2 linked regions of the Oryzias latipes genome follow. The protein of the gene in region 2 interacts with the protein of the main gene of each other region in a pairwise test. Links are inferred from orthologs where the notes say so. Each region holds a gene or a part of one and is shown on either strand. Other genes may lie near its edges.

Evidence for each region. The genes of interacting proteins can lie anywhere in the genome.
Region 1: the proteins of dusp12 (region 2) and eif5 interact in binary tests that used the Homo sapiens proteins (3 or more experiments, as listed by UniProt). The two-hybrid records come from large-scale screens. The link is inferred for Oryzias latipes from reciprocal best matches to the Homo sapiens genes DUSP12 and EIF5.

What each region holds. Positions count from the first base shown.
Region 1 is NC_019880.2:21,352,179-21,357,500, forward strand, and holds the end of eif5 (eukaryotic translation initiation factor 5), read right to left. Parts: coding exon 5,279-5,322; intron 5,018-5,278; coding exon 4,906-5,017; intron 4,791-4,905; coding exon 4,660-4,790; intron 3,550-4,659; coding exon 3,388-3,549; intron 3,158-3,387; coding exon 2,996-3,157; intron 2,854-2,995; coding exon 2,689-2,853; intron 2,443-2,688; coding exon 2,302-2,442; intron 1,362-2,301; coding exon 1,263-1,361; 3' UTR 952-1,262; downstream 1-951.
Region 2 is NC_019875.2:21,142,806-21,148,196, reverse strand, and holds the start of dusp12 (dual specificity protein phosphatase 12), read right to left. Parts: upstream 3,506-5,391; 5' UTR 3,346-3,505; intron 3,286-3,345; exon of another isoform or gene 3,228-3,285; intron 2,401-3,227; 5' UTR 2,399-2,400; coding exon 2,136-2,398; intron 1,961-2,135; coding exon 1,847-1,960; intron 1,073-1,846; coding exon 954-1,072; intron 867-953; coding exon 779-866; intron 491-778; coding exon 399-490; intron 1-398. UniProt on the Homo sapiens protein: Dual specificity phosphatase; can dephosphorylate both phosphotyrosine and phosphoserine or phosphothreonine residues. Can dephosphorylate glucokinase (in vitro).

The sequences.
Region 1 (5,322 bases), on a different chromosome or scaffold from region 2:
CATGAGAGTCAGTGAGGCTAACTAAACTAACGCGAAGGCGCTGTGTGACTGTGTCGGTCGGTACAAAAATAGCCGAACCTTCCCTTTTCCCGCAAACCGAGTTCGGATTAAACAGAACCGATATAGGGTCACTGGTAGGAGTTTGGCAGAGAGAAGGTAAATCCCCGGAAGGCTGAAACACCCGCAGTCTGTTCTGTTTCTCCCATCTCCTGCGGACTAAAGTGAAGCAGTTCGGACTGTTTTAGGTGGGACCAAAATGGCTACTGAGCGGCTGGGCTGGATTAGGATGCGTTCACGGACCCATTGCACCGTCAGACATAACTAAACCGTGAATCTCCGAAGGGTTAAAAAACACCAATTCAGCACGATTTCCCACTACAAGTGGCATTTTTCTGTGAAAATACGGAATACATATAATCAGCACACAAAGTAAAATATATGCATTTTAACTGTTGTCAGTGGTGTATTTGTTTTTTCGCCCTTCAAAATAATCATTAATTTAATTAGAAAAACGTTGCAGTTGAACTAATTTGATGAGAAAAATGGTTTACAAAAATGTGAAAACGTTTTTTAACTTGAATGCAATCTCTGCGCTCCTGACGGTACTTGAAGGCACCACGTCCATGTTTTACTGAGCGGGCAGAGAAAACTTACTGACCTCGGTCCCACTGGACCGGTGAGCCCGACCAGAACCTCGGCGGGCCGAGAGGAAACTGCCTCGTGACTCACTTCAAAAGGGGTGTGGATGACGCACACGAAGGTAAAGCCCGCGTGAAAACACCAGCTTCCTGTCCCTAGCATCTGACAATCCCAAGGCGTTTCTCTATGCGAACCCAGAGTCTAGGTTGATCCAAAACTGAGCGTTTCAGAACCGATGTTCTGTTTTCCCTGCATTAACTAATACATACAGCACCGTTTACATCAAGTCATCCTTTAGAAAAGACAACAGTGTGGTGGATAGCAAAACATTTTTATTGACTGGAAAAATACAACAAGCACCTCCCTTTCCCCAAAACAAAGGAGAAAACAAAGATGCAAATCAAAATGATCCCCATAACACTTGTGATTAACCCCCGAGCAATTTCATTTAGTCAACTGAGTACATGTCAGGATTACAGTTACTGTGCAGCAGGAAAAGCGCTACAGAAATCATGCCACAAAGCAGAAGGGAGTCTGGGAAATGTAGTAAAGGAGCAAAAGGCAAACTATTCCATACGTCATACAGAGCGTTATGAGTCACAGCATCAGCATACACATCCGTCTTAGATTGCATCGATGTCAATGTCATCCTCCTCCTTCTCGGGTGTTTCTGGTTTGACCGTCTCCACCTTCAGCTCACGAGCGGAGGACGAATACACCACCTGAAGACGCAAAACAGCAGATTTAAGGAACGTCACCTTTACTACGATGGACGCCCACCGACGTCTCCACCTGAGGAGACCAAGTGTTAACCCTCCAACAGGTAAACAAGTACCTTTAGGTTCACAAGACCGAAATGCTGAACTAAATCGCAAGAAGTTACCCCGGTCTGGACCCCAGACCCCAGACTGCCATCACACTAAGTTCAGCCTTGAGCTCTAAAGAGATGTTGCATTTCCGATCTTGAAGACCCTCTCTGATGAAAATAGTGATTTGGGTGTTTTTAATGCAGTCTTTTTCTCACGATAGAGGACATAATAAAGAAAAAGAACATTCTACTAACTGCATTTCTGAGTATTTCATGATCCAAATAGATGTGAATATGGAGCCAGCGCTCTAAAGTGCAACTGGATTTTTCAATGGTCCGTCTTAAAAATCCATGGTCGTACCGGTGCGCCCAAAAAAAAATAAAAATAAATAAATAATAATCTCTGCAACTCTGACAGTCTTATTCCTGTTTGTGTGCAGCAGTAACCCACCTCAAATATGACTGTTTTTGTTTATGGGAACATTCGAGTACATCCGAGTCGGTCAGTTTGGGTCCGTGTGCAGCACCCAATAGATGTGAGTGGGTCTTTAAACAGCTACTTTCCATGTAATTTATTATTCTTGTAGAGTTTGGTTTAAATAAAGGATTTCAGGAGAAGCCTGAAGGCTGATAGTGACAGCGAGGAAAAAGGACAGTGATCCTGTCTTTGTTTTCCTGGTCTGAGCTGGAATCTGGATCAGAACTGGACGGCTGGATACATCTGATGTTAATGCTCAACTCTTTGATATTGAAACGACCGACTCCTGAGCTAAAACTCAGCTTTCTTAAAACTGCATTCATTTCATGCACGTTTTCAACTCCACCCATTGGCATCGTCTGCTTTTAAACTGTACCTCCACATTTTCGTCATCTTCCTCCTCCTCTTCTTCGCTCCCCTCGCTCTCCTCTTCTGCCTCCTTCAACCATTTCACAAAAGGAGCGGCCTTGGCGTGAATTTCTTTGGCAAGTTCCTTGGAGACATATTTCTTGGAAACCTGGTGCAAGAGATTAGTAAAATTAACTAAAATCTGCAAACATTGTTCCCTTCATTAAAGTCTTTGAACCAAACATGAAGTTATAGTAAGACACCCACCCAAGATGGGAAGAAATGAAAGAAAAAGCCAATTTAATCTAGAAAAATTTTTGGTTTGGGTAAAAGACTATCATAGTTAATTATTTACAGTTTTATTTACAATAATAAAAGCATTCATTCATTCATTCTGTGGATGAAGAGCTCCGACCTTCTCTGCCCAGGACAGGATGACGTCCTCTTCCAGCAGGTCAGCGTCGTACAGGTCTTTCAGGATGACGGCAACACGTGGGAGCAGCTGGACCTGATGCAGCTTCACCACACACTCAAAGCCCCCCATCAGGTACTTCTGGGCTTTTTTGTTGTTATGGCAGAACTGGGGAAAGATTGATCAAACCGTGAGAGAGGAGAGGGGCAAAGAGTCTGTACCAACATCTTAAAGCTAGCATGATCAGCCTGAAGTAGTCAGATTCCACCATCCGTACTGGACGTCTGTAGAGGGCTGCTCAGAGACTCACTCTTAGGAAGTGGCGTTTGTACTTCTTGATCTGGTCGCGGATGTTTTCGTCAAACAACAGCTCACTGAGGATGAGGGGGCCCATGGCCTTCACATCCAGACGCTCCGCTTCAGCCAAGATCTCCTTGTCGGCCGCGTCGATGGTTCCACTCTCCTTCTTTTGCTAAAGGAAGATATCACAGTTTTCTACATTACTGCTCTATTTGAAGTTTTCTATCAAACATTTTCAGCTCCTTCAACCTGTCAGAGAGCTGCAGATCAGACTGGAATGTCTGCACTGAGATACCCTCCCCTCCAGTACCGGGTTATCACGATTACACATGTGAAGGAGGATTTAGATCCTATTGATTTAAAATAGGATTTTACTCCAACTAACAGTCCGAACAGACTCACTTTCACAAAGCTGTAGAACAGGTTGACCCTCTCCTCCAAGGGTTTCTCCAGGTCGTCGCTCAGTGTCAGGTTCTTGGCGTGGTCGCTGATCTCCTCCATACGACGCCTCTGTGCCTCCTCTGTAGTCTCCTCTGCCCAGTCTTCGTCGTCGTCATCCCGATCCTCAACGACCGAAGGACAAATCAGAACAGGAAATGGGATTTGAGGGGCGGAAAAAGCTCTCAGGAAAACTGTAACCTTTACATTTCAAAACCAAGAGTCCGACGCAACATGACAAGCAGTGACTGCGAGCATCACGAAGGATGCATGAGACGGGGAGGTTGACAACCGTTAAACAACCGGAGGGTCAGGGAGGAGAAAACCTTCCTGACTCCTTAATGAGGTTCTAGCTGGACTGAAGGACGTTCGCTCCACAGAGACAAAGAACGTGTGAAACGCTGAGGAACACTCCTCACTTTACGAGAAATGTTCACAGATGGATCAGGAATCACCTCAAAACCACAGAAGTAGGAATAAACCATGCAAAGAACACAGAAATGATACAGAACACGAACCGTGTGATTACTGTGCTGTTTATCTGCAATTCAATAGGGATTTGTGCGTCAATTACATAACTAGAACGTTATACGTGCACCATATCCGTGATATAAAACTTATATGTCGGACCATGAAAAGTCTGTTAGACATATGTGGAATGGTCGTGGAAAGACACTCAATCACACACACAATTGTTTAAAATGTGTGTCATAATTGTGTATAAACTATGTTAAATATGCGGAAACTGTAATTCTCAACCGATCAAAGGTTTAAAAAAAACTCAAAACCAAATTCATGTGAAGAACCGTCGACCCAAACCCTCGACGGACATCTGTGCACACCGACAAACGCAAGAAACTCTTATGAATAACGTACATCGCACATGTATCGTGAAACACAGACATTACATACATTTTAAATGTATGTAATGTCTGTGTGACACGGTGTTCTGGGTTCTTGGGAGTTTGCATAACTGTTCCAGCCCGGTTGGAAGGAGGTCAGACTTGTTCCCAGTGGGTTCTGAATAGAGTCGATGTCTAAAATCCCAGGCCTGAATCTACAGCCCGTATGAAGTCAAGTGATCCAACCTTCTTTCCCAACAAGAAACCCAGTCATTTTCTAGCAGCATCATCTGGAATGGTTTTCTTTTAGGATTGAGATGCTGTAGTAAAGGCGGCGTTTCCCTGCTGGCTTCATGTAAAATATCCCAGCTTCAGTCTGAAGCAGCATACACACCACAGCTTCAGGAGCATTAAAGCTGTCCTGGGTTCCCGCCTCGCCACTGCCGGAGCCGTTCTCCTTGTCCTTTTTGCGGTTCTTCTTCTCCTTCTCTTTCTTAGCAGATGCAGATCCACTGTCGGTGCTCTCTGTCATTTGAAAAAGAGTCATTACAGACAATCTGGATTTTTGTTTTTGTGTTAAGGACATTTCCTCTGAATGCTTTAGTCAGTCACGGACTTCCCCTTTGGGGAAAAGTCTCACCTGGTGGATTTTTGAGGATGAAGGTGCAGAGTTTGTGTCGAGTGTCTAGCATGCCGCGGTACCCACAGGCCTTACAGGAAGTGCCGATGGTTTGCTTCTTGGGATTGACATGCTGTTAAAATAAAAAGACAAACTCAAAATTAATCCTGAAAAGACGAACCTTCACAGCTGATACTAGTTAACTAAATATTTCAGGACTATTTTCTGAGAGTTTCACACTAAGCTGTTAGTTTGATTTCTGAAAAACTAATGGATACTTTGCTATAGAAGGTTAAAAAAGAACCATCAGACATATTTTCTGGTGAACAGTGCATCAACTGAACTCCTTTTCGCCTCAGTTCTTCTGAAACTTGCAGAAGCAGTAAAGCCTTACCAGGTCGGTTTCAGGGTTGTCACACTCGGCACACAGCACAAATT
Region 2 (5,391 bases):
GATTATTTTGGAAAACAAATTATTTTAATGGTTAGAAAAGAGACTGCTCAATAATTATAGATATATTTTATCACCCACTAACAAAGAAACAGAAAATACCATGAATAATATATTAGGCGTTAAGCTACGTTTACACCGCCTTCGGCAACTCAGCTCCACTTTTAATGAAAAGTCTATGTAAGCACGTGTACATTCGGGTTTCTGCGTTTAATACTCCTGTGTTTATGTGTCGCCGCACGAGCATTCACAACCATTTTTATGCAAACATGCATAAGTAGAAACCAGAAAAATAAACAGAGGAAGAAGCCCCTCCCTGCTTGTTCAGTGTGAACACCATGGGCTAAATTCTCAAATTAGAATGCGTCTTCATCAAATGCCCATTGTGTACGCAGCTTTACCAGAGAGGTTGCTGGTCTTCTTATGACTGAAGGCTGAAGCTCCATCGCCTACGGGATGACTGAGAATGCTGGAGCCACGGAACAGAGTTCGTCTGAGAAAGAAGACCAGGAAGTTAGCCCAGAAGTTCACTGTCGTACCTGCTTTGTTGCTTTTTTTACCTAAAATATTTGGGGTAATTATCGACACATTAGCTTATCGGGATGTCAGAAAACAGAGCAAAAACTTTAAAACAAATTAAAACAGTTTAAAAGGAAAGTCTAGTTGTTGAGCTCCGATAATAAAGAAAGCCTTAAAACTCTTTAGCATAAAAAAATAAGATTTTTATGCTAAAGAAAATTTAGCCACTAATTACCATATCTAATATTTCTAAGCAATTCACCTGCACTTCCGGCATCTGTATGACACCTCGGAGGAGCTGGAGTGGGCGGGGTCATTAGCAAAAATATCTCTTGGGACTTGCTGCAACTCTGCTTATACACAAATAATAAGAAACAAAAGTTGGGAAAGGAATTCCCTCCTGGTGTTCATCCACAGCAGCAAAGCTTTGCTTTCACCTGGATATCTCTCTGCAATCTTGTTCAGCCTGTATTGTTTGTACAAAGCACTAGATGTGTCCACCTGACATAGCATGGACTCATACAGCTGCAGCTGCTCTTCAAAACCCCTGTTGACCCTGAAACACACCCAAAAAAAAAACAAATGTTATCTTTTAAGCTCTTGTTTTAAATACAGTTTTACCTTTTGCTGGTGTATACATGACAATGCACTTATTAAGATTTTTTTAAACTTGTTTTTCTGAAATGATAAAAAAAAATCATGGAAATAGTCCCCATAAAATCTTTTACCCTGCTTTACTTCTATATTCCTTTATCAGGTTTATAACAACTGATTTTTTTCATGTACATTGACTTTCAACGTCTGTTATGTTTCTAAATAAAAGCTTCAGTCTTTTTTCAATGTTCACTTCTGGTGAAAATGCAGTTCAAGTCTTCAGTTTTCTGAAAAGTAGATGTTGGAGGCAAATCAGCCACAAAGGAAAATATGTCATAGCCAATCAAGAGACAGATGGGACAAAGATTTCCTCTCTACATGCTCCTTCTAAAATCTTTTTCTTTTTTTTTGCTGACATTTGTTGTGATAAAGTGACAGAAGATGTATTCAACAGAAGTTAAGCTTTCTTTAATAGCAAAAAAAAAGCTGAGTTTATGAACCCCCACATTTGATATAGGTTTAATTAATATTTTTATTAATGAGCAGCCCACTAGAAGCACTTTTAGAATTTTTTTTAACTGTAATTTCCAAAAATATATTGACAGAAACATGAAAAACTTTTTTTTCACAGCCAATTGCTTACCTACAATGCTGACAAACTGACCTAGCCAATTTTGAAATACCCTTAACACAAACAGAAGACATACTGGGAGAGAAGGGAATGACAAATACTTACTGAACATCTTGTTTGACACTTTTCAGTCTTTGGTAAGCTTCAGGGAAGGCCAGATGGTGTTTCTTCATTAAATATGCAGTCACAATGGTGGCGCTGCGGCTTCGACCTGCATGACTAATGTGCACAAAAAATAGTTTTTAAATAAGCGTTGTCCTTCTGCATTTTGTGCTTTTATATGTCGTGTCATCATGCACCAAAATGGATTCAGATTGCACATGGTTGCATAAATTCAAGGATGGAATGCGTGGAAAACACAGAAAGGAATAATGAAGCCATATTTGACTCTTACCAGTGAACCAGTGTAGCTCCGCCCCCTTTTACAGCCTCATCAATGAATATGTTGCAGGCGTCCAAGTAACTGAGCAGATCAGTCGTCTCTTCATCTAAAGCATTGATCCACTTTCTGATGAAGTTTCCTGTGGCAGGAATCTGTGGACCAGGATCCACAGATTCCACAGACAGGATGTGGGTGACCGAAGCTGCAGCGAGCGCCTGGCAGTCGTTCAGGTCAGCTGCAGTGCCGATGTACACTCCTGGATCTACGAGCAGCATGACTTCAGAAAAACACACAGGGATTAAAGGAAAGTAAAGAGAAAAATGAAGAAAAGTCCTCAATATTACTGAGCACAGGAAGAGTTGTGGAGCAGACCATCTGATCAGTTTGATCTGCGGAATTATTGAGATATTGAAACTGGCCCATTCATTTCCAGGTAGAATCATTTTAGCTACACAGAACTTTCTGGCCTTTCACAAAGCATCTCATTTGTTTAAATGAAAAGCAAAGTGAAAAAACATGATATTTTGTTTTCTTTGCTTACATATAGTAATAAAAGTATTTGTAAAACGTCTCTATGAAACAAAAACATTCCTCACTATAAATAATTAAAAAATCTAAGGATACAGAGTGAGTGAAGAGGATTGAACGTCTTACTACTTACTGCTGTCTGTGAACTGTATTATGGAATTAGTGTGTATGTTAATAAAGTCATAACACATTTTATGGCAAATATGCTTATTCTTCTTCTTTTAATTACTTAAATAAGGGGGTGTGACGTCACTAAAATATGTTTATTTGAAGATTTTTATATGTTCATCCCCCCCTCCCTCCCTCCCTCCTTATGTTCACTATTTCAACTTTTAAAAAAAACGCAGCATCTTCCACGTTAAATGTCTTTCCAATTTTTACTTTTCCTTTAATTTTTACAAGTATCACATTTTGTTGTGATAATTATAAAAACTACAGTGTAACACTCAAATGTGTGACTGGTTCTCTGACCACAGAGCAATACGGATTTAAATGGCATCACCGAGCTTCCATCTTCATCTTTAATTTAGGCTTAATGTAACCCAGCCTTCTCGGGTCACATACCAAGACAATTACCTGATTTCTTACCAAACAGCAACGCCCTGCTGCTAAACACGCGTGCACATAACACCGTGGTGCTGTGACAGCCAGCCTCGCAGTTAACTAACTCCGTTAACTAAACTCGTTAACTAACCTCATTTACTTGAGTATGTCGTTTCTTTCCTTCCTGCAAATTTTGGCTGCTTCAAACCTCAAAGCATCAAACGTGCAAAACACACAAAAACTAACTTTAAGACGGACCCTAAAGGCGTGAGCACCAACGGGACTGGTGTTTTTGTTCGTCTCTTAAAGCTGTAGGGAGGAAACACGACATCATTTTATAGTTCCGCTGATGATGATCGCACCAACACGTGTTTTTTGTGTTCTGCTGGAAGGTTTGATATTTTTACTAAAACAAAAATAATGTCATGACCTACTCCTCTTGCTCTAATTTTTTACAAATTTTTATTTATAATAACCATGTAATTTCCCAAACCCAAAGATTCATATAATGCATGCAGCAACAACTTAATAAGGGGTCATGTCTGAAGCTTTCGTGAGCCCAAAAAAACAGCTCTCTCTGATCAGAAAAGTTTTAAGTGATCAGGGAACTGTTTAATAAAGTTTGCCTAGCATCAATCTGAGTCTTAAAACTTAATTTTGCCTTTTCTATTTCTGTTTTCAACTTTTTTGTAGCAGAATTTTGTCATAAATATGTAACCAACACGAAAAGAGATTCAGAGACAGAGCTTTTCCCATTTAAGGTGTTTTTTTTCAAATAGTTTAACTCATCATTGAAGCAGACTCACACAACTAAACACACACATTTTGCTCATATGGCAAACATAGATTTTCTACTGGGAAGAAATTTTTTGTTCTGTAGTAATGTAAAATCTGAAGAACTCTATAAAATTTGGGCCTATTTTAAGAAATCAATAACATTTTTTACACACACTGATGTCCTGCAGACATTTACATAAAAAAAACAGAGTTTTCCAACCATATTATATTTTGTTAAGCGTGTATTAAAAGCAATAGTTTTTAGGATTCCAATTGACAGCATATACTGAGAATGTAGATTCAATAAAGCCTATTGTTGTATTTGTGTCAGTCAGACTTGACTTGATTACCACAGTGAAATAATGTGTGAAATAATGTGTTGTGATGGGGCTTTTTTTATGAGTGAAAGGTTATCATGTATGGAATGATTTGGGATGGGTCTGAGCAGGTATTAAGGAGAGCAGATTGACCCCTAATGTGCACCTGGATGTTACTGATCCAAAAACATTCAGTCATTGACCAAATGGTTGCTGGTGTTAGTTTTTGTTTTAAATTACAATTTTTATTGCAATTATTAAAATACGATAACAATAAAAGAAGAGAAAATAATATTTCCCAGAGAGAAGGCCCTAGTTTGAATCCTGGCTGGGACCTTTCTTTGTGGAGTTTCCATGTTTTCTTATGGCACTCTGTCTTCTTCCCACAGCCAAAAATCCTGCTTTAAAAGATTATTTGGTGACTCTAAATTTCCCCAAGGTCCCTAGGTTTGCATCTGAGTGTGTGAGTGTGTGGCCCTCCAACAGACTAGCAAGCTGTTCTGGGTGTACACAATAGTTGCTGAGTTGGCAGTAGCAACCCCGTGACCCTGAAGATGGATAGATGGATAAAAGAAGGGAACATTTCTGATGGAGCTGATGGACATTTCACATATCCTATGTGCTGATGGTGCTCCTGTTTGCCGGTTTGTGCCGTCATGATGTAGCTTCATGTTCCAGCTTTGTCAATCTGACTTACTTTATTTCAGTGCAAACATTTCCCATCACCTTCAGGACTAGGGATGTAACGATTAATCAATTAATCGATTAATCAATTTCTGTTCCTAGGATCCAACCAGATTGATCTGTCAGAGGCAAGTTCATTGAATCAAATCAAATTGACCTATACAGTTAAAAATCTTTTTAAAATTACATAAATGAATTCTTGATATTGGAAAATACCATTTGGATTGAGACATGGTAGGTTAATTTTACTATGACGTAAAAACGACCAAGTGCCATCACAGCGGACAAAACGTGTGTAATGGCAGCAAAAAATGATCAAACCATCATTACAGTCCAATTTATGGAAACACTTTGAATTTTGTTGACCATACAGTAGAATGTTCTAATAATCTTCCGTTTGTATTATTTTTATTGTGGAA